Pelodiscus sinensis: one gene and its partners. The protein of the gene in region 3 interacts with the protein of the main gene of each other region in a pairwise test. Links are inferred from orthologs where the notes say so. Each region holds a gene or a part of one and is shown on either strand. Other genes may lie near its edges.

Region 1 (7,509 bases), on a different chromosome or scaffold from region 3:
GTCTGGCTTGCTGCTTATACACAATCCCACATCTCGCCAGCTCTGCTCACAGTGATCATGCCAATGCCTACAACTAAAAATAAAGCACCCAGAAACAATCACGCTCAACAGGAATGGGAGGGCTGCAGAGACAAGTGATCAGCTCAAATGAAAGCTGCAGCACAGCTGGCCCCCAACAGCTGCTTTTGCTACATACCTTTCTGGGACTGATTGCTTTGGTTTGCTCTAAGGCAGGGGTGGGCATTTTAATGCCTGCAGGCCACATTTGGCCCGCTATGCCTTTTGATTCAGCTTCCTGCCTGCTGGAGCCCAAGGCTGCTCAAAACAGCAGGTGGTTCCCTCTATGTGCTGCGCACTCCTGGCTGGGACAGAAGGGGAGACTTTGCATGCTGCCCTTGACCCCAGGCCAATCACCACAGCTCCCAATGGCCAGAAACCAACCAATGAGAGCTGTGATAATTGGATGGGGGTGGAGGCAGCATGTGAAGTCCCCATCCACCTTGCCGGAGTGTGCGGCACCTAGAGGGAGCTGCCAGCTGTTCTGAGCAGCCTGGGGCTGCGACATGCAGATAGGCTGCCTTGGGGTCCCTGGTGGGCTGCTGGCTAGAAGCCACCTAAGGTAAGCACCTCCTCAACAGAGCCTGCCTCTGGTACTCCCACCCCCTAATCCCTGCCCCAGGTCACCACCTAGACCCTCTGCAAACCCTACCTCCCCCCGCCCCAGTCACAACTCCCTCCCAGACCCTGCAATCCCTCCTACACCCCTCTACCAGGCCAAAATCCTTTCCTGCACTCTACCTCCTCTGGGACCCTGAACCCTAATCTCCTGCCCCAAGTCACAACCCCCTCCTTCATCCAAACTCTCTCTCAGACCCCTCTCTTGCACCCCACACTCTTCCCCTGAGATCCCTTCTTCACCCAGCCTCTACCCCAGACACCACACCGTCTCTATAGAAATGCAGCCCTTAATCCCGTAACAAAATCTTGGAGTGCCCTCCCCATCCAAAATTATTGCCCACCCCTGCTCTAAGGCCTGGTCCACACTTACAATTTATCAACCTAGCTATATGACTGAGGGGAGTGAAAGATTTGCACTGGATCACTGCATTTAAGATGACCTAGTTCCCAGTGTAGAAGCATTTAGACTGAGGTGTCTGTCCACTTAGGTTATCTCTACTCTTCAACCACTACAGTGGTATAAAGACACTGCTTCAGTGTAAACATTCCCTACAGAGATGGGAGGTTCCACCTCCCTGAGCCGCAGTAGCTTGGTCGATGGAAGAATACTGGGTTCAGGCAACTTATCTATATCTCTAAGGGATGTGGATCTTTCATACTTTGAGCAACACAGCTGGGCAGACCTGGCCTTAGCTACCACAGACCACAGAGCAGGATTAACTACCACAACAGAAAAAGCCCTGTTGCAGTAAGAAGGGATTACACTATACCACAATGACACATCTGCAGCCTTGAAGCTGTGCTGCTGACATGCCAGTAGGCACGGCCATTGTCCCCTTGTCACGGTGAGAGCCAAACACTTCCAAGACAGAGACAAGACATGCAGGGATTGTTAATCTCAGGGCTGAAAGGCTGAAATCCCCATGCAAGCCCCCAGGGCCAAAACACCTATGATCAACGTTTCCTCTAATCTTTTCCAACCATGTGCGGAATACATTTATACGTGCACAGAGGGATGTGCAGATGTGCACCACCAGTAGAAACAAAAAGCCTAGCTGTGGGACTCTGCTAATCACCGGGGGCGTCATTTGAATTTCTGTGCACAGCTTGGCAGTGTCTATGATGGCTGGAGAACAGCTTACACCCAGATGACAAGCATGTGATGCAGTAGTTTCCTCCCCAGCCCTCTTGATGTAGCCTGGCTTGCCATGCAACTACCCACTCAGCCAGTCCCAGCTGCTTTTCTTCCTCAACTGCAGCTGTGGGAAGAAGACTCAAGCTAGTTTCATTCACTTACTCTGTTCTACTCCCACTGCTCCAGGAAGGGGCAATTTGGGCTGTAGGCCTGATGGGTCCCTAGAAAGGTGTCACCTACCTTGCCCAGATCAGAGATTGTTTTTCTCTGTTATACAGCTACTCTTGAGTTTCAGATCCAAATTGGGGGCAAAGGGTGTTCTGGGGAAGGGGATCCACCCACATCACCTGCCCCTCGCAAGTGCTGCTGGGCCAGGGTACATCTGGAGTCATGAAGGCCTTCCCTGGGTAGGAAGGGTCCCTAACCTCCCCTGGACAGCCACCTCACAGACCCAGCCTGTGCTATTTGGTCTGGGGTCCCCACCTGATCTCTGAAGATGAAGTTCCCTAGAAGTGGGGGACCCAAAACAAAGGTCTTAGGAGCAGTAGGTCCCAATTTGAGGGAAGGGGTGCCTTAGGAATGGAGAAATCACATGAGGGGATGTTATGGGGTCAACATGGATACATAAAGGAAGGCAGTCCTTGTGGACATCTCAGGGACCAAGGACCCAATCTGAGAAAGAAAGATGCTTTAAAATAAAATATTGCATGTACCGATGTTGGTTCTTGATCTCTGTGAAATGGGGGAATTAGGGAAAGAAATCTCTATGGAGTAGTCATTGGAGGAGAGTTCTCAGGGGGCCTGTGAGTGCCTGGGTTGCACAGAAGTCCATGCTCTGCTGGTCAGAGGTCCTCCAAAGAAGGCCGCAGTGGGGCAGGAAGTGAACAGAAGAATCCCCAAGAGGTGCTCTAGGAGAATAGGGGGATCTCAAGAGAAAGGACCCTAAAAGATGAGACATGGGGTACTGGGGGAATCGGCGGGCGGGGGGGGGGGGTAGGTGCTGCTCAGGAGGTCCCTGGGAGACAGTCTAGGGTAGAGTGAGAGGGAAGATGCTAGAGGTGCTCTAGGAGGAGGCTGCTGGGAGAGCAGCAGAGGATGCTCTCGAGGGAAGTCCCACTAGGAAGACCCCAGCAGCAGACAGGGACAAACTAGGAAGTCCCCAAATGACGGCACTCTAGGGGGTGTCCCTGGGGGAGGACCCCAGGAGAGGTGCAGGGGAGCACTGGGGGGGGAGGGTGCCTCACAGCAGAGAGAAGCGCTCAGGTGGATTCCTCTAAAGGGAGAGACACTTGGGGATGGATCACTCATAGGAGAGCCCCAGGAAGGGCTACAGGGTGGTGGTGGAAGGGTTCCCTCAAGACGAGGGACGCTCAGGGGAGATGCCCCAAGGAGGAGAGATGCTGGGGGAGGGGGGTAGGAATCCCTGGTGGGAGAACTGCAGAAGGCGGCATCTTGGGACTGGAGGGGATGCCCTGGGGAGGGAGGGGCCCTTTGGGGAGGTCTCTGGGGGGACCCCAGAAAGGGAAGCAGGAGGGGGTGGCTCGAGGGGTGTCGGGGGGGAGGGGCGCTTTGGGGAGGTCTCTGGGGGGGCCCCAGAAAGGGAAGCAGGAGGGGGGGGCTCGAGGAGTGTCGGGGGGGAGGGGCGCTTTGGGGAGGTCTCTGGGGGGGCCCCAGAAAGGGAAGCAGGAGGGGGTGGCTCGAGAGGGGTGTCGGGGGGAGGGGCGCTTTGGGGAGGTCTCTGGGGGGGGCCCAGAAAGGGAAGCAGGAGGGGGTGGCTCGAGGGGTGTCGGGGGGGAGGGGCCCTTTGGGGAGGTCTCTGGGGGGGCCCCAGAAAGGGAAGCAGGAGGGGGTGGCTCGAGGGGTGTCGGGGGGGAGGGGCGCTTTGGGGAGGTCTCTGGGGGGGCCCAGAAAGGGAAGCAGGAGGGGGTGGCTCGAGAGGGGTGTCGGGGGGAGGGGCGCTTTGGGGAGGTCTCTGGGGGGGCCCCAGAAAGGGAAGCAGGAGGGGGGGGCTCGAGAGGGGTGTCGGGGGGAGGGGCGCTTTGGGGAGGTCTCTGGGGGGGCCCCAGAAAGGGAAGCAGGAGGGGGGGCTCGAGAGGGGTGTCGGGGGGAGGGGCGCTTTGGGGAGGTCTCTGGGGGGGATCCCGAGAGGGGAGAGATGTTGGGGGGGCGCCGGGAGGGGCTGTGGGGGTCCCGCCCGAGGGGGCGCTGGGGGACACGGGGGATGCCGGGGGGGGGCCGCACCTGCATCACCACCTCCACCTCGTAGGCGTTGCCCTTGCTGCGCTGCTGGCCGCGGAACTTGGCCCCGCTGTAGAGCAGGGAGGTGGCGACCCCGGGCTGCGCCGTGTTGATGGGGGGCGGCGGCACCAGGCTGGCGGCCCCGCGGCCCCGCGCTCCCCCCGGGCAGCAGCACTCGCTCCGCACCGGCATCTCGGGGGGGTCCCCGGGCGCCAGCGTGTCACGGGCTGCAGGGAGCCGGCCCGGCCGCCTTGCTGACCCGGGCGCTCGCCGGCTGCCCCCGCCGCCTACCTCAGGGCCTCCCGGCGACGCCTCCGCGCGCTCTGATTGGCCCAGCGGGCGTCGCGTCGGGCGGGGCGCCGTTCCCATTGGGCGATGGGCGTCACGTGGGGGCCGCGCTGGCTCCTGGGAATCGTTGTTTCTGTGAGGGCCTTGTGACAGGGCCCTCGGAGGGACAAAAAGCGTTTGTGATGCTGATTGGACGCTGGGCGAGCAAGATGGCGGCGCCCAGAGGCAGAGTGGCTGGGTAACCGGGCCGCGGCGGTGAGGTGGAGGCAGGTGGCTCGCAAGTCGCGTCCGTGCGGCCCCGTAGGGAGTGGGGCCCGGGTCTGTACAGTGGGCTCCGCGGGGGTCTGTCCTTCCCCTCCCGGTCCTATTTGTACCGGCAGGGGGCTCTGGGGGGGGGCGTGATCCCGGCAGGGGGCTCTTGGGGGGGGGGGGCGTGATCCCGGCAGGGGGCTCTGGGGGGGGGCGTGATCCCGGCAGGGGGCTCTTGGGGGGGGAGGGGCCGTGATCCCGGCAGGGGGCTCTTGGGGGGGGGAGGGGCCGTGATCCCGGCAGGGGGCTCTTGGGGGGGGGAGGGGCCGTGATCCCGGCAGGGGGCTCTTGGGGGGGGGAGGGGCCGTGATCCCGGCAGGGGGCTCTTGGGGGGGGGGCGTGATCCCGGCAGGGAACTTTTGGGGGAGGGGCCGTGATCCCGGCAGGGGGCTCTTGGGGGGGGGGCGTGATCCTGGCAGGGGGCTCTTGGGGGGGGGGCCGTGATCCCGGCAGGGAGCTCTTGGGGGGGGGGGGCTAGATGCTGGTAGGCCATCCCAAGGTGTTAGGCGCACCTGTATGTAACAAGTCCAGGCCGTTCCCATCTTGCTGTAGCTCACGGTCTCCCCAGAATGTGGCGCAGTTGCCAGCGGCTGTTCTACGCCGGGCTGCCTCAGGCTCCATGGCTGTGCCCAACACTTCCTGTTGGGGGCCCCAGTCTTTGGCTGCCGTGCATGGTACGGGCATACACGCCACCAACAGGTGAGGACAACGCTGGACAGCAGTCCTGCTGCATGCTCGGCAAATTTCAGCATGGTTATTTCCAATTGCAGGGATGTTTTTCAGTGGTGGAATTGACTAGTTGTAAAAGCCAGCTGTGACCACAGTTTATGAGAGGGATGTGATGCCCCGTCCCCCATTTACAGAGGAGAGCTCTGGTTTGTGGAATGGGCCCCAACTGAACATCTGAAACATCAAGCCCAACAACAAACATTTATTATGTGCAGAGGCAAAAGAAAATGACATCGCTGGCCCAGTGAGCTCAAAATCTAATGCCTCACGCCTCCTGCTGCCAGCATGTGAGCCTGCTGCTCTGCCTGCATACAGCCTCACTGAGTACCTGCAGTTCTATTTTAGGTACTGTTATGAGCTCAATCACCATGGCAGCTGAGTACCTCAAGTTCTTTAATCTACTCCTTCTCACAGCCCCCTTGTAGGGCTAAGCAGTGCTGTGATTTCCCACTTTATACAGGAGATGCGGAAGGACAGAAAACTGGAGGTCACACACAAAGTCTGTGGCAGAGCAGCAAATGAAACCTAGGTCTCCTGAGTCCCTTCACCCCAGTCCATCCTTCCTTAGTCGTAAAGTGGTGCTTTCAACATCTTTCCTCTGTGATTTCAATTGTTTGTATGAGGATGGTGAAATTTGATCCTTTGTTTCTCACAAACTAAGACTCTGAACTTGCAATGAAATGCACATCCTGGAGCCCCATTAAATCAGGACTTGAGGGGGTGAGGGTGTCTTGTTGCAGGATCAAGGCTGTGGGCGCATGCTTGAATAGCCTTAAAATATGGCATTCTTTAAGTCCCTTGATCCTGCAACTGTCTTGTTTCTAGGCAGTCTGCCTTAACTGGGACTCTGGAAACCCAGGGGCCCTGTGTGCACAGTAGATGTAGAAATGGAGCTGCAGTCCAGTAACAGTTGTTAACTCTAGAGATTATGTACATACACCTATGTTGTACTGCCAAGGCAAAGATTTGGAGAGGTTTTGTGTTCTCTGTGTTTTGTGTGGGAAATGGGACCAGGTGTCTGTCTAAATGGCCGGGTCTCTGTGTTAACACAGACTCTGGGAACTGGATCCACAGGGCCAGCCTATAGCTTTCAGTTTGGAATTTATCAGCTGTTGCTCTGCATGCCCTCAGAGAGCCTGTCTTCACGTGTTAATTCATTCCTACATTCCAAAGCCAGAAAGAACCATTGTGATCAGCTAGTCGGGCCTCCTGCATAGTACAGGCCCTAGAAGTCCTTTGAATTCATTTATGTTGCCTGTGGTTTTTGTGCAGGGTGGGCTGTCTGTCAGTGCAGGGATCTAACTGTGTTACATGTGGATGCTGTCAGGAAGTTAGCAGGTGCTGTTCATGCCATTTAGAAGTCTAATGGCTGTGCCTTGCAACAGTGCAGATGCCAAATGTAAATTGCTTCTAAAACTATGACCTGTAGCCCTAAAGGTAGACTTGCTATTTATTGCACCAGACATTCTCCTTGACATAGTGGGTGCAGCATAACGGGAGGTAGACCCTCAATATATTAAATTGTATGCTGTGGTCTACCTGGCATCTACGTGAACTCACTCAGGACATGGGTTTACAGTGTGTTGCGTGCAATGCTCCTGGATCCAGCCAGAGGGCGTTCAGGGCAGTGTGACAGGCTAGCTTGGCACTGTAATTTAGGGGCTATTCTAGATTCAGGTATATCATCAGCTTCCGCCTGAAATCGCACCAGAGGGAGCTGTTTTAAAAGCTGGCTGGATATTGGTGACCTGCCTTAACTACATGGGACCGATAGTACCTGCTGATTAGAGTTGCTGCTTCTCCAGCGGGTGGAAAAGCCATGGCCAGCTGAGCAATGCTCGACAGGTCACATTACTTTTGTTTCCAAGGTAGTGGCTGAAGAGCTGGGCTGATGCAGGGCTAGTTTAATATTCAGCCTGGCAAAGAGGGGCTTGCTGGTAGGGATTGCACCAGCATGTATTCCAGGCCTGTCCTGTTCTCTGGGGCCTCACATCTGTTTAATATTATCATTGGTCATGTTTATTACAGTAGTGCCTACAGGCCACTTGAGAGTGGGCCTCTACTAGCTGAGGTGCTGGACATCGACAGAGAAGCAGATGGTTCCTGCCCCCAAGTGTTTACAGTCTAATTAG
Region 2 (7,431 bases), on a different chromosome or scaffold from region 3:
CGCTGTCTAATTTCCATAACCACCTCTCCCTATTCACATAGTACTAGTACCATACAAAGATGGGAAATTCTAAGGGCAGAGAAAGACTAAAGAAAATATACTACCTGTTGTAACTTGGGAATTGAGGGAGCTAGAGAAAATGTAGCACTCTCTTCTGCCTCTGTAGCAGGGAAGATGTTCTATTTCAAAGTGCAGCAAAAAAAGTCCTCAAAGATACTGTAAAAATTATATATATTTTACTGTGTATACATCATTTCTTTCTGCCTCGTTAAGAGTGTTGATGCAAATAGCGGTTTTTCAAAAATATCTGCTGTGAATACAAATGGCTCAGTTAAAGAATAATATTTTAAAACTGATAGATTGGTGAATAGCATCTCACTTCTCAAATGCTTATTAATGTTTGTTTTTTCAGTATAAATTTTACCAATTCACTTTGACCATTTTACAGGGTTGAAATGAATTATATGCAGGGGTGGACTGGCAATCAAAATAGGCCCGGGAAATGAGTTGAGAACGGCCGACTTTTTCACGCACACTATCTTTGTTCGTTTACACCATACTCACACTGTTATTTATTGTCAGTTATGGAAAACCACACACCCACAATGACAGACGATAACAGAACGCATCCAACCGCTGCATACTCTTTGTTCACCGGTCAAGATTCAAGCTAATCCATCACCGATTCCACCATTGCACAAAGCAGGCCTACGCATTACTGTTATGCACCATCGAGCATTGAGCATTGCACGTCCATTTCGTTGATTTCAACCATAAAGTGATGTCATTCACTTTAGTGCCAAAGAAACTAAGGCCAAGCCGGTGCAGCGACCCACTCCTAACCACACACACATACACACATGGCCTCGGCCGCCTCACATTTATTCGGAAACATTTTGTATTTTGGTATTATAGATTTTTTTGGTATTAGAACAGTGGTCTCCAACCTTTTTACACCTAAGATCGTTTTTTAAATGTCAGAACAAGCCAAGATTTACCACTCCATCCTTCCCCCAAGACTCCACCTACCCTCTCTATTTTCCTCCTCTCCATCACTTGCTATCCCCAGCCCTTTTACACTCTACACTGCTGCTTTTTTTCCGATTCTTCTGTAGGAAGAGGTTTTTCCAACATTTGGCCTATCTGGACAGGACCAAATGTCAGAAAAAACCCTTCTTTCAGAAGTCCCCTTATTCCTTGTGGAACGAGGAATACAGGGCTTGCTGAAAGAGCATGTTTGCTCTTCCGCCAGAAAAAATGGAAGAACAAACGCATCCATGGACGTGGAAGAATTTTTCCGGGATATCTCTGGAATCCTGGAAAAACTCCTGCAGTCTAGCAATACTCTCACTGGCTTGAGACAGGATATGTATGCTCTGGGGTGAGAATGAGGGATTTGGGTGTGGAAAGGGGTGGGAGGGTCAAGCTCTGGGAGAAAATTTGGAGGAGGTGGAGAAAGGGATGCTGGCTCAGGGAGGGGACTCCTGGCTGGGGAGTGTTGAGGTCAGATGGAGGGTTGGGGTACTAAGCAAGCCACAGGCTTGTGGATGTGAAGGTGCAGGAATTTGGGTTGGAATATGTCAGGGGCTCAGGGCAGGGGGTTCCAGTGTATGATAGGCTCAGATCTAGAGTCTGGGACGGGGTGTAGCAGTGTTATGATGCTGAGGCTAGATGGGGACTTGGCCGCAATTGGGAGTTTGTTGGACAGGTTTCATTTTTAAATAAAATACTATGTCAAACACAAAAAGTTTCTGCATTGTCTTTATTTATTAGAAGGGCAGGGAACCTGTTTTGAATCAGGTGTCACTGACTCACAGAAAAGTCAGTTGGGGCAACACAAGTGAGATGCAAAAAAAAAACCTCCTCCAAAAAAACCCCAAACCTCACTACTGTGGCCCCTACTACGCTGGTGGAAGCAGGAGACATGGTAGTAGGGAAGGGTGCTAGTGGGTGCTGGGGCAGGGGATGGTGCCAATTGGGGCAGGGGACAGGGTGCCAGTGGGGGACAGGGTACCAGAGGAGAACGGAGGGGCAGGGGGCAGAGGGCAGGGTTCTGCAGCAGGGGACAGGGTGCCAGTTGGGGCAGGGAGTCTCCCGCACCTGCCTCCTCCCAGCACTCTTCTCCCCTCTCCCTTCCCCCCGCAGAGGAGGGAAACCCTGGCACGCACCTCCTCTGGGGACTCCCCCCGCCCCACCATGCCAATTCCCAGCACGCTACAGACCTGGGGGAGGGGAGCAGCCACTGCACTTCCGGAACCCCTGGAAGTGGCGCGCAGCTGCTGGACTTCTGTCCACCCTGCAGGAAGCCGCCACTACTTCTATTGTCACTGGAGGTAGGTAGTAGGACTTCTTGGGGGTGGGGGAAAATCACAGGGGTGGCCCCGAATGCCTCACGATCGACTGGTTGGTGACCACGGTATTAGAAGCTTTATGGTGGATATTACAGTCCATTCAGACGATGGCCCGCTGGGCCAGATACTGTCAGCAAAGCTTTTTTCAACAAAGAGTGTCTAGACTACATCCAGTTCTGTTGACAAAGCAAGCCGCTTTGTCGACATGTGAGTGTAGGTGCAAAGGACAGTGTAGATGCAATAACACCTTCTGTCGACAGAACTCTGTTGCCAAAAGGCGTTATTCCTCATAGAATGAGGTTTACTGCCGTTGGCAAAACTGCCGAGTTCTGTCAATGTTATGTCGACAGAACTTGGCAATAGTGTAGACAGAGGTATAGTTTTATCGACAAAAGGTCACTTTTGTTGACAAAACCCTGTAGTCTAGACCAGTGGTCGGCAAGCCGCGGCTCGCGAGCCACATGCGGCTCTTTACACGCTTTAATGCGGCTCTTCTGTGTGCCGGGCGCCCGCTCCCCTCCCTCCTCTCGGGCGGCCGCCCCAAAAGTCTAGTTACTAGACCAAACCGCAATTCAAACCGCATTTGGAGTGGGGCAGGGCCGCAGGGGGCGGGTGGGCGTGGGCCGGGATCCAATGGGGCTCCGGGGGCGGGGCCTCACCTGGGAAGGGGGCTGGGTGGTGTTTCTCGGAGCTCATTGGCACAGTTGGGAGCGCGGCGATGGCTGGTCTCGGCAAGTGGGGCCGGTGGCACCTCCTGCTGCTCAGCGCCGCTTCGTGTGAGTGCCGGGCCGGGGGGCAGTGAGACGGGGGGGCGGGAATAGGAGGGCATAGAGATAGTGGGGGGGGGGTAAAGGAAGGGGGCTAGAGGCAGGGACGGGGGGGGCGCCGCCCGGGCAGAGTGGCGGGTGGAGGAACCGTGGGACGGAGGGGAAGATGGGGCGTGGGGGAGAAGGAGGGAGCAGGGGCGGGGAAAGGAGGGCAGTGGGGCGGGGGGGGGAATGGAGGGGGCAGGGGCGGAGGGGGAGAAAGGAGGGGGCAGGGGCAGTGGGGCGGGTGGGGAATGGAGGGGGCAGGGGCGGAGGGGGAGAAAGGAGGGGGCAGGGGCAGTGGGGCGGGTGGGGAATGGAGGGGGCAGGGGCGGAGGGGGAGAATGGAGGGGGCAGGGGCAGTGGGGCGGGTGGGGAATGGAGGGGGCAGGGGCGGAGGGGGAGAATGGAGGGGGCAGGGGCAGTGGGACGGGTGGGGAGAAAGGAGGGGGCAAGGGCAGTGGGGGGGTGGCGCCCGGGGCAGCACGGCGCCCGGCCGGACACACAGCGGGGCGGGGGAGTGGACGAGACAGGGGCACTGGGAAGGGGTAGAGGACGGGGCGGGTCAGTGAGGCGGGCGGGGACGGAGAGGGCAGACGGGGAAGTGGCAGGAAGGGCGGGGTGCGGGAAAGGACAGTGCGGACGCGTGGAGGAGGGGCAGATCAGACACTTCTTTTCGTTGCGGGAAGTCGGGGTGTCTGAATTGTATGGTCGGGGGGTGGTGGCGTTGGGGTCTCTACACGGAGCTGCCTGTCTCTGGTGCTGGGACCCCAGTCTCTTGGGGCGGGCTGCCTTTGCTCGCGGGTCTCACTCCTTGCTTCACAGCTCGTTTGTTTTGTTGCGGAGCCTTTTCTCAGCTGAGACCCCCACCCTGGCTGGCCTGTGCTGCTGTTGCGCTTTGAACGTTATGCTAAGCATTTTGGAGCATTTAGTTTGAACCTGTGTAAAACACTCCTGGGCAGATAAACGGCCCGGGAGAGTAGAGGGGTGGATTTTAGCGATGCTTCATTCTGAATTTTTGCTTGGTCTGAAATGAGAGAAGAAGTTTCTTTCTGTGTGAATTAAACAGTCTGTAAAATACTAGTTCTTTCTTATCGTAATCACTCGGAGGGGCCTGTGCAAAGATACTCAGTGCAGAAGGTCCCTTATCATGATAGCCAGAGACCAGACAACACACAGATACCTCTAAGAAGTGTTAACAAGAACAGCCGGGATTCTGGAAACTGGAAGCTCTCTAAAAATCCAGTGCAGTCTTCACCCTTGAGGTTACTCACTTCTTGCAATTGAACAATGAAAATAGGGCGATTGGGTTGCAGGATTTGGTTTTTTTTATTGTAGCCTTTCTGTAATTGTTCCAGTGAGTTAATGCACTTCCTCATGTTTGGATTGCAGATACTGCTGGGGGAGCTTTGTTTATTTAAAACTGACTTGCTGGGAGGGGGTTGTTCCTTTTGTGCTGCTTTGTGATGTGTAACTGTAGCCTGAACATTTTAAGGTTTTATTTGCTTTCTGTGACCTTATAGTTAGGAATTTCAAGCTTGAGATGTGAATTTGGACAGAGGGAGACTGATCTGAAATACTGAGCTGGCAGCATAGAGATGCTAGTTGAACTTCTTTGCAATTTAGTTTACTTGGCTATAAGGTATAGATGAAGAGCCCTATACAACTTCCACAGAAAGATGGAGTGGGGATGAGGATTTTTAGAAAGACCTATTGATGGAGGATTAGAGATGTAGGGGAATCAGAAGAGAACAGTTCACTGCTGAGGAAAAGGGTTTTAACTCATGCTCACTAAGGCACAGCAATTTAGCTTTAAACTTGGGTTAGCAGTGCTAGCTCATCTGAGGCTGCCCTATAGACTTTAACAGTATACTAATAAGAGTTAAATGCTGTGTTGCTGTATCTTCACTGTTTTGTCCTAAATTAGCTACCCTTGAGTTAAGCATACTTTTTTTATGTAGACATACCCAAGAGTGGTGAAAAGGCATACTTGCATGCAGAATATTCTCAATAAAAACTTATTGAAACTAAAAACAGTGTACCATCCTATGTATTTTCGGGTTTAAAAATGTGGCTCTCAAAATAAATTTCAATCGTGGTTTTGGCGAGATTTGGCTCAGTTGAAAAAAAAGGTTGCCCACCACTGGTCTAGACTCACTCTTTATGTCCTAAATGTGAAATCTGCTTTAGATTTCTGTACCTTTTCCTTAGCTAGTTTTTTTTCTTGGACTGCACTCCATTGTGCATTATTATCCTATTTAATGGCTACATCTGTCATTTACATTTAGTTGTATTTTGCAAGGTGAAGAAGTTTGCTGTACAGTCCATATATCCCCAAGATCCAAAGCCTTGCTGTTCTTTAAGCATAGGTGGTACGTTGTAACAGTACAATATACCTCTGAAAAATTATTTATGTCTCTTTGTATTTGACTATATTTCTTGGCTCACATTCACCATCGTTTCTATCAAATATGAATCTGATTTCAGAAAACTTTTTATTTCTATTTTGATTGTGATTTCCATTCCCTTCCGCTATGTTTTTTTGCTTCATTGAATTGGTGTTTGTTGTACCTTCTAGAGCCTGTGGCTATATTTCACTGCCCCTGCCGATGTTTATGGGGCAGATTAAATTTAACTCATGCTCCCTGTAGCAGTTAGTGTCTCAATCTGTTTATTATATTATTCCATATGCTTTCTTGTCTGTTCATTAATGAGTCAAAGTGACCCAAATTCACATCTTTGAGCATTTCCAGTTACAGATTCATTGCAAATGACAAATATCTCTTGAACATAACATTTTGCTAGAGATACACTATATCTCTGTGTTTTCCATAGTCAAGGCAAAATCACCCTCCTGTGCTTGTACTAATAATAGGAGTGGCCCATCAAGAAAGTCACTGACAGTATTTTAGGTGTTTTCTCAGACCTTCTGGCAGTGAGAACAATTATCAACTTGCTTAAACTGATGGAACTTCTTACAACATTTCCTTTCAGTGTCATGGCAGTTGAGGAAATTATTGTTAAACATGTTTTTCCACTATAACTTCTGATATCATATAATATTTACTGAGTCAAATCAGCAACTGTGGGAGATGACTTGGTACTCTTATTAAATGAATGAGCTGCTGGCTCAGATTGAGATTGTTTAGGATTCTGGAAACATTTGATTCTCATTGGGCATATTTAAAAGTGTAACAGAGATGTCAGCACAGTTATTCTCATAGTAACATTGCACAATCATATTTGCAGAGTGACAGAGCAGGATACGATTTGTAAGAACAGTTCTTCCAATCTGTTGACATTCCTAAGTATTGCTTAACTTAGTAAATGCTAACATGACGATTTCACAGATGGCTTTTTTGATATGTGAAACATTGTTAATATTGATGGTCGAAACACTATAATTAAAGACGAAGAGGCCTTTCCTAGACCACTTTTGTGAATGACTTATCTAAAAAACAACTGCATATTATTCATGTATCTTCTTTTATACTTGAGTAATGTACAGTGGCAGCATATACATCAACAGTGGTATCTATAGCAATAAAAGCACGGGTCTTTCCTTGTAACAGGGCAGCTCTGTTGCAACCCACTGAACCATGCTATGTAGCCAGTTCATGTGGTTTCACAGTCACAAACACACACCAAGATGTGTACTGATTCTTCATTTATCCAATGCAGTCTTACAGCAAGGGTAGGCTTCCCCACAGCCTTTAGGCTTCTGCCTAGGTTCACCCTCTGAGCTGCTTTTGCTTCCTATTTCCACTCCTGATATTGTTACCTCATTAGCCTAGTGATTGCCATGCAGGTACTCACAAGCTCCCTGTACAATTGTCTTCAGCTGGGCCAAAAATTGTCTCCAAGTTAATAACAATGATCAGGATGCCATTGATAGTGCCCTGTCAGACTCTTGGTTGAACTAAATGAAGTAAAAATACATTGTGGGGGGAGACAAGGGAGAGACCCCCTTTCTCTCTGCACCCTGAGGTGCCTTCATTGTCCCTTCCTTTCTACTATAATCAAATTATCTAGATTTTAATAGATAATTTAAAAGATAATTTAATAATTAAACTTGGTAGAAAGCACAGTTATTCCCACATTAAAAACTTGTATAGCATGCTTTAGTTCCATCTTTCATTCCTTCCTTCCTCTGAGCCTACCATGCTGGCCAAACAGGAAATGAAATTCAAAATTTCCTGGGAGTTTTCCTGTGTACCTGAGAGAACAGAAAAGCTGAAAGTCACATTAGGGCACTGTGGGTATGTCTAGATTAC
Region 3 (8,084 bases):
ATGTGTTCAGTTCTCTTCTGTTTTATGAGACTCAACAATGCAATGGTATAGCACTAATGCAGCAGCTCCAGAAGAAAAACAAGCTCCTTTACTGAACAGAACAATAGGCGCATTTTTAAATATCATTTTGACAATTTCACTCACACATGTTTCTTTAGTAAATATTTTTTTCCACTGTTCATGGTGGCGTTAGAAGAACTTTCCTTTAAATGCCTTCTTTTCTTTTGAGGTGCTCCTCTCTTCAAGAGCTTGGCTTTAACTTTAAACTGAAGTGACATTGTCAATGTTGATAAGCCTGATGTTTGACCTATTTGTAACTTATAATTTTTTGCAACACTCGTGTACAATTGTATTTTCTTCAAAGAAATGCTTCATTGGTTTTCTCCAGAGGAAAAAAAAATTACCTGCCAGAAAGCAGCCATAAAAGAACTGAGTACACATGGAGGAAAGTAAATCATTAAATGGTTAATTTAAAAAAATAAATCTAACTGCTCAGTACTACAAGTTTTCTGGCAGAGCCGCATCAATTAAATATGATTTAAATAATTAAATGTATTCATATTTTGCATTTGCACTTTTCTTAAAGACCGTTTGATTCCCCAATGGGTAAATGTTAAAATATGTAGATTTGCAAGTAACTACATCTTTTACATGAAGGCTAAGTCTATGCTGGCACTTTACTGCACTATTCTGGCTCAGCTGGTGAAGAACACACACAGACACAGACACACACACCAGGGAACAGTGCTCCTCCTGGTGGAGGTGGTTTACTTAGAGCTGTGGTCACACTGCCACCTTAAAGTACTGCCACGGCCCCGCTTTAAACTTTCTAGTGTAGACAATGCCTTAATGTTGTGCTTTTTTTTTTTTTTTTTTTTTGCTAACAAGGATACATTACATCTATACATATGTAAGCAATTATCTAACAACTATTTATCAGATTACTAATTTTTTGCTGGATTGGTCAAGTGTCATTTGAATTAAATTAAAATTAAACCAGGAATGCACAAACCCAGCACTTAAACTTGTGCTAGATTAATAAAAAAAATTTAAAACATTTTGCATTTAAACTGACTAGAGAGTGAACTTATCTGATTGACTGCCCCCATCCTTCAAAATTTTAGAACTAGCAGATCCAATTATTTTACATATCATTTTTATTCAGATTAAACTTGCACTGCTTAACATTTTTTATTTTGTTGAAATATTAAATAGATTAAGGCTGACAAACGGTCAATTTCAAATATAATTTTAAATATTTATTAAACATTTAAATAAATCAGATTTAATAAAAATCAGTTTTAATTTTTTTTAGAAGCATGAATTTTTATTCAGTTTTCTAATGTTAAAGCTCTAAAAATCTCCATTTTAAACATCTTCACTGTGCTGATTTTTAAAGATAAACTGAAAGGATTAGGGTGTTCAAATCAAAGACATACTGGAGCAAAACTTTAGGCTTTTCTGATGAGTCTTTTCATAAGAGGGCTGTTGGCAAGTGAAATGCAGTATAATACTGGTATCAACACCAAGGCTATCAAACCAACAGCCATATAATGTAACAGGTCTTTAATCACAACACAATTCCTTTGTTTGATGTAGATGGATACTCCCAAATAGTAAAAACATCTTTGTCTGTACCAAGCTTTGTAAAGGTCCCAGAAAAAGTTACTCTGCCATCTATCCTATACAAAGAAACCATAATGTAGCCAGGTGTATTCATCACGGGGTCTATGATATATCTGTAGACCCAATATTAAACTACTTACCTTTTCACCCTAACCATATCCACAATAAGGCTCAGTAAATATTTACCAAAGAATTTCTGCAGGTTATTGCCTGCCTATGCCCAAAGCAGATTTTAAAATAAACTTCAAATACTGAGTGCTAATGGGAAGAGTGACTGCCCCATCCATCTTCCCTTCCCACTCTACTACAGAAATCTTAAGCAGCAGCAGCAGCTAAAACTATTTCTCCTTAAGAAACCTAGGCATTTTGCATTACACAATGATGGACGGAATGCATTACAAGACTAACAAGTAGAAACAAAAACTACAGTTCCTCCATTTTGATACACATTTCAATAGACACACTCAAAATCATTACTTTTACTACCAATACTTAATCTTATTTGTTCTATGACCACCACATAACATGCTGATTAAAAGTTGCTGATGTGCGGTTTTCAATGTGTGCTTTGCACAAGATCTTTAATCATGCAATTATGTTAAAAACAGTTATTTAGATCCTGTTTTTGCTTCAATACGATTGTAAATATTTCTATACACCCCAAAATTCAAGACAACTATTTCTAGCTCTTTGAATGTTAACATTTTGATGTAATCACTCCTTGCTCTGCCCCTCTAGGGCAATTCCTCTCATGTTAAGCCAGAGCCCTGTACATAAGCACTGTCGAGGGCCGCTGTAAGATTTTCGTGCGCTACTGTCTCTGTGCCTAAGAACATTTATGCATAAACCCGGCAGCGCTACGGACTCAGCGCCTGTGAGAAGGCCCCGGCCCCATTCTACTCCCAGCAGCAGCTCCCGGGACCGGCTGGAGCCGGGCGCGAGCAGCAGCGCGCTCTGGGCCTGGCCGCGCGCTCCCGGGACAGGGCCGGGCGGGATTCCCGCGGGCGGTGCAGCGGCCCGGCAGGAAGCGCCGCGCCCGCAGCCACGCGGGGCCCCGGCGCAGCGCCCGCCATGAGCACGCGCCCGTCCCGCCCTTCGCCGGCGCCTCCGCCATTTGCCGGCCCGGCCGGGCAGGCCCGCCCGCCGCCGGCCGTTACACAATGGCCAGCGCCGCCCCACGCGGCCCGGGAAGCTTCCAGAAGCGCCGGCCGGGCCGCGCCCCAGCCCCCCGCCGGGCGCCCTCCCCCCGGAGCTGGGGCTGGAATCGGGCCCGGCCCCCGCCCAGCGCCGCCCGGCCCGGCCCGGCCCCGTCGCTCACCCGTCGACGCCATTTTCTCGCCTTCCTCCTCGTCCTCTCAACGTCTGGTCGCTCTGCCGCGCGCTCGTGCGCATGCGCACCCTTTCCAACCTCGGCTCCTACCACTCGGCACCGGGGGGAGCTCACTACAGTTCCCTGCCGCATCCCGCTGCCCGGCGCCGCCCCCGCCAAGGAGCACACGGGGTCTGCAAGGAAAGCGAGAGCGGCCACGCAGATGCCGCTGCAGCCTTTCTCCCCTTCGGGGTGGCGAATGGTTCAGTCCATCCCAGCAAGGGAGCGTCGTTCAAGAGACGCGCTAGGGAAAGGCAGACTAGGCCTCAGCGGTGGGGGAAGGGAGCGCGGGCAGCGCGCAGCCAGGGTGCGGGGCGAGGCGTGCATGGGTCACATTGAGCTAGCCTGCAGTGCCGGGGACATGGAGCACTGGGGTGCCGCTGTGATGTCATTGCACGGTCACAGCGCGCCTCTGTGATGTCATTGCACGGTCACAGCACAGCACTGTGATGTCATTGCACGGTCACAGTGCGCCTCTGTGATGTCATTGCACGGTCACAGCGCACTGCTGTGATGTCATTGCACGGTCACAGTGCGCCTCTGTGATGTCATTGCACGGTCACAGCACAGCACTGTGATGTCATTGCACGGTCACAGCGCGCCTCTGTGATGTCATTGCACGGTCACAGCGCACCGCTGTGATGTCATTGCACGGTCACAGTGTGCCGCTGTGATGTATTGCACGGTCACAGCGCGCCGCTGTGATGTCATTGCACGGTCACAGTGCGCCGCTGTGATGTATTGCACCGTCACAGTGCGCCGCTGTGATGTATTGCATACAGCTGTGGGTAGAGCTCTGACGTCATTGTGCGGGTTTCAGTGCAATGAGCTAATGTCATGGGGGAATTATGCCATGTCCGTACCATGTTAACCGTGAAATAACACTGTGTGGGCCTTACCAGTTAAGCGGTGGCTCGACCGATGTGGGCAGAACCAGCCCACAAAATTTTGGCACTTGAGGCGGGAAGCTCAAATGACGCCCCCATGTTCCCTTGCTGCACCAGCAGCAGAAACAAGTTTCTACACCCTGGGTCCTAGTGGCGCCACCGCAGAGTCTGGCACCTGAGGAGGCCGTCTCAGCTCGCCTCACGGTAAGGCCAGCCCTGGCGTGGGCCCAGCCTAGCCCAAGTAGCCTGTGGCATTGCAGGCCCTTGGCGCTGACCAGAGCCCCCCCTCGGCCTTAGCGCTGACCAGAGAGCGACAGGCCCCCCCTCGGCCTTAGCGCTGACCAGAGAGCGACAGGCCCCCCCTCGGCCTTAGCGCTGACCAGAGAGCGACAGGCCCCCCCTCGGCCTTAGCGCTGACCAGAGCGCGACAGGCCCCCCCTCGGCCTTAGAACTGACCAGAGAGCGACAGGCCCCCCCTCGGCCCTTAGCGCTGACCAGAGAGCGACAGGCCCCCCCTCGGCCCTTAGCGCTGACCAGAGAGCGACAGGCCCCCCCTCGGCCCTTAGCGCTGACCAGAGAGCGACAGGCCCCCCCTCGGCCTTAGCGCTGACCAGAGAGCGACAGGCCCCCCCTCGGCCTTAGTGCTGACCAGAGAGCGACAGGCCCCCCCCTCGGCCTTAGCGCTGACCAGAGAGCGACAGGCCCCCCCTCGGCCTTAGCGCTGACCAGAGAGCGACAGGCCCCCCCTCGGCCTTAGCGCTGACCAGAGAGCGACAGGCCCCCCCTCGGCCTTAGCGCTGACCAGAGAGCGACAGGCCCCCCCTCGGCCCTTAGCGCTGACCAGAGAGCGACAGGCCCCCCCTCGGCCCTTAGCGCTGACCAGAGAGCGACAGGCCCCCCCTCGGCCTTAGCGCTGACCAGAGAGCGACAGGCCCCCCCTCGGCCTTAGCGCTGACCAGAGAGCGACAGGCCCCCCCTCGGCCCTTAGCGCTGACCAGAGAGCGACAGGCCCCCCCTCGGCCTTAGCGCTGACCAGAGAGCGACAGGCCCCCCCTCGGCCCTTAGCGCTGACCAGAGCGCGACAGGCCCCCCCTCGGCCTTAGCACTGACCAGAGAGCGACAGGCCCCCCCTCGGCCCTTAGCGCTGACCAGAGAGCGACAGGCCCCCCCTCGGCCCTTAGCGCTGACCAGAGAGCGACAGGCCCCCCCTCGGCCCTTAGCGCTGACCAGAGAGCGACAGGCCCCCCCTCGGCCCTTAGCGCTGACCAGAGAGCGACAGGCCCCCCCTCGGCCCTTAGCGCTGACCAGAGAGCGACAGGCCCCCCCTCGGCCTTAGCGCTGACCAGAGAGCGACAGGCCCCCCCTCGGCCTTAGCGCTGACCAGAGAGCGACAGGCCCCCCCTCGGCCTTAGCGCTGACCAGAGCGCGACAGGCCCCCCCTCGGCCTTAGAACTGACCAGAGAGCGACAGGCCCCCCCTCGGCCCTTAGCGCTGACCAGAGAGCGACAGGCCCCCCCTCGGCCCTTAGCGCTGACCAGAGAGCGACAGGCCCCCCCTCGGCCCTTAGCGCTGACCAGAGAGCGACAGGCCCCCCCTCGGCCTTAGCGCTGACCAGAGAGCGACAGGCCCCCCCTCGGCCTTAGTGCTGACCAGAGAGCGACAGGCCCCCCCCTCGGCCTTAGCGCTGACCAGAGAGCGACAGGCCCCCCCTCGGCCTTAGCGCTGACCAGAGAGCGACAGGCCCCCCCTCGGCCTTAGCGCTGACCAGAGAGCGACAGGCCCCCCCTCGGCCTTAGCGCTGACCAGAGAGCGACAGGCCCCCCCTCGGCCCTTAGCGCTGACCAGAGAGCGACAGGCCCCCCCTCGGCCCTTAGCGCTGACCAGAGAGCGACAGGCCCCCCCTCGGCCTTAGCGCTGACCAGAGAGCGACAGGCCCCCCCTCGGCCTTAGCGCTGACCAGAGAGCGACAGGCCCCCCCTCGGCCCTTAGCGCTGACCAGAGAGCGACAGGCCCCCCCTCGGCCTTAGCGCTGACCAGAGAGCGACAGGCCCCCCCTCGGCCCTTAGCGCTGACCAGAGCGCGACAGGCCCCCCCTCGGCCTTAGCACTGACCAGAGAGCGACAGGCCCCCCCTCGGCCCTTAGCGCTGACCAGAGAGCGACAGGCCCCCCCTCGGCCCTTAGCGCTGACCAGAGAGCGACAGGCCCCCCCTCGGCCCTTAGCGCTGACCAGAGAGCGACAGGCCCCCCCTCGGCCTTAGCGCTGACCAGAGAGCGACAGGCCCCCCTCGGCCTTAGCGCTGACCAGAGAGCGACAGGCCCCCCCTCGGCCCTTAGCGCTGACCAGAGAGCGACAGGCCCCCCCTCGGCCTTAGCGCTGACCAGAGAGCGACAGGCCCCCCCTCGGCCCTTAGCGCTGACCAGAGAGCGACAGGCCCCCCCTCGGCCCTTAGCGCTGACCAGAGAGCGACAGGCCCCCCCTCGGCCCTTAGCGCTGACCAGAGAGCGACAGGCCCCCCCTCGGCCTTAGCGCTGACCAGAGAGCGACAGGCCCCCCCTCGGCCTTAGCGCTGACCAGAGAGCGACAGGCCCCCCCTCGGCCCTTAGCGCTGACCAGAGAGCGACAGGCCCCTCGGCCTTAGCGCTGACCAGAGAGCGACAGGCCCCCCCTCGGCCTTAGCGCTGACCAGAGAGCGACAGGCCCCCCCTCGGCCCTTAGCGCTGACCAGAGAGCGACAGGCCCCCCCTCGGCCTTAGCGCTGACCAGAGAGCGACAGGCCCCCCCTCGGCCCTTAGCGCTGACCAGAGAGCGACAGGCCCCCCCTCGGCCCTTAGCGCTGACCAGAGAGCGACAGGCCCCCCCTCGCCCTTAGCGCTGACCAGAGAGCGACAGGCCCCCCCTCGGCCTTAGCACTGACCAGAGAGCGACAGGCCCCCCCTCGGCCCTTAGCGCTGACCAGAGAGCGACAGGCCCCCCCTCGGCCCTTAGCGCTGACCAGAGAGCGACAGGCCCCCCCTCGGCCTTAGCACTGACCAGAGAGCGACAGGCCCCCCCTCGGCCCTTAGCGCTGACCAGAGAGCGACAGGCCCCCCCTCGGCCTTAGCGCTGACCAGAGAGCGACAGGCCCCCCCTCGGCCCTTAGCACTGACCAGAGAGCGACAGGCCCCCCCTCGGCCCTTAGCGCTGACCAGAGAGCGACAGGCCCCCCCTCGGCCCTTAGCACTGACCAGAGAGCGACAGGCCCCCCCTCGGCCCTTAGCGCTGACCAGAGAGCGACAGGCCCCTCGGCCTTAGCGCTGACCAGAGAGCGACAGGCCCCCCCTCGGCCTTAGCGCTGACCAGAGAGCGACAGGCCCCCCCTCGGCCCTTAGCGCTGACCAGAGAGCGACAGGCCCCCCCTCGGCCTTAGCGCTGACCAGAGAGCGACAGGCCCCCCCTCGGCCCTTAGCGCTGACCAGAGAGCGACAGGCCCCCCCTCGGCCTTAGCGCTGACCAGAGAGCGACAGGCCCCCCCTCGGCCCTTAGCGCTGACCAGAGAGCGACAGGCCCCCCCTCGGCCCTTAGCGCTGACCAGAGAGCGACAGGCCCCCCCTCGGCCTTAGCGCTGACCAGAGAGCGACAGGCCCCCCCTCGGCCTTAGCGCTGACCAGAGAGCGACAGGCCCCCCCTCGGCCTTAGCGCTGACCAGAGAGCGACAGGCCCCCCCTCGGCCCTTAGCGCTGACCAGAGAGCGACAGGCCCCCCCTCGGCCCTTAGCGCTGACCAGAGAGCGACAGGCCCCCCCTCGGCCTTAGCGCTGACCAGAGAGCGACAGGCCCCCCCTCGGCCTTAGCGCTGACCAGAGAGCGACAGGCCCCCCCTCGGCCCTTAGCGCTGACCAGAGAGCGACAGGCCCCTCGGCCTTAGCGCTGACCAGAGAGCGACAGGCCCCCCCTCGGCCTTAGCGCTGACCAGAGAGCGACAGGCCCCCCCTCGGCCCTTAGCGCTGACCAGAGAGCGACAGGCCCCCCCTCGGCCCTTAGCGCTGACCAGAGAGCGACAGGCCCCCCCTCGGCCCTTAGCGCTGACCAGAGAGCGACAGGCCCCCCCTCGGCCCTTAGCGCTGACCAGAGAGCGACAGGCCCCCCCTCGGCCCTTAGCGCTGACCAGAGAGCGACAGGCCCCCCCTCGGCCTTAGCGCTGACCAGAGAGCGACAGGCCCCC

Evidence for each region.
Region 1: the proteins of EWSR1 (region 3) and ATPAF2 interact in binary tests that used the Homo sapiens proteins (3 or more experiments, as listed by UniProt). The two-hybrid records come from large-scale screens. The link is inferred for Pelodiscus sinensis from reciprocal best matches to the Homo sapiens genes EWSR1 and ATPAF2.
Region 2: the proteins of EWSR1 (region 3) and phospholipid scramblase 2-like interact in binary tests that used the Homo sapiens proteins (3 or more experiments, as listed by UniProt). The two-hybrid records come from large-scale screens. The link is inferred for Pelodiscus sinensis from reciprocal best matches to the Homo sapiens genes EWSR1 and PLSCR1.

The regions. Positions count from the first base shown.
Region 1 is NC_134726.1:33,122,760-33,130,268, forward strand, and holds the start of ATPAF2 (ATP synthase mitochondrial F1 complex assembly factor 2), read left to right. Parts: upstream 1-4,447; 5' UTR 4,448-4,605; exon of another isoform or gene 4,606-4,657; intron 4,658-5,200; 5' UTR 5,201-5,217; coding exon 5,218-5,347; intron 5,348-5,420; exon of another isoform or gene 5,421-5,637; coding exon of another isoform or gene 5,638-5,722; intron 5,723-7,509. Other genes in the region: GID4 (glucose-induced degradation protein 4 homolog), read right to left, coding at 4,055-4,243. UniProt on the Homo sapiens protein: Plays a role in the assembly of the F1 component of the mitochondrial ATP synthase (ATPase).
Region 2 is NC_134720.1:23,898,559-23,905,989, forward strand, and holds the start of phospholipid scramblase 2-like, read right to left. Parts: upstream 3,063-7,431; 5' UTR 3,048-3,062; coding exon 3,011-3,047; intron 1-3,010. UniProt on the Homo sapiens protein: Catalyzes calcium-induced ATP-independent rapid bidirectional and non-specific movement of phospholipids (lipid scrambling or lipid flip-flop) between the inner and outer leaflet of the plasma membrane resulting in collapse of the phospholipid asymmetry which leads to phosphatidylserine externalization on the cell surface.
Region 3 is NC_134725.1:5,537,937-5,546,020, reverse strand, and holds the start of EWSR1 (RNA-binding protein EWS), read right to left. Parts: upstream 3,059-8,084; 5' UTR 2,958-3,058; coding exon 2,945-2,957; intron 170-2,944; exon of another isoform or gene 149-169; coding exon of another isoform or gene 145-148; intron 1-144. UniProt on the Homo sapiens protein: Binds to ssRNA containing the consensus sequence 5'-AGGUAA-3'. Might normally function as a transcriptional repressor. EWS-fusion-proteins (EFPS) may play a role in the tumorigenic process.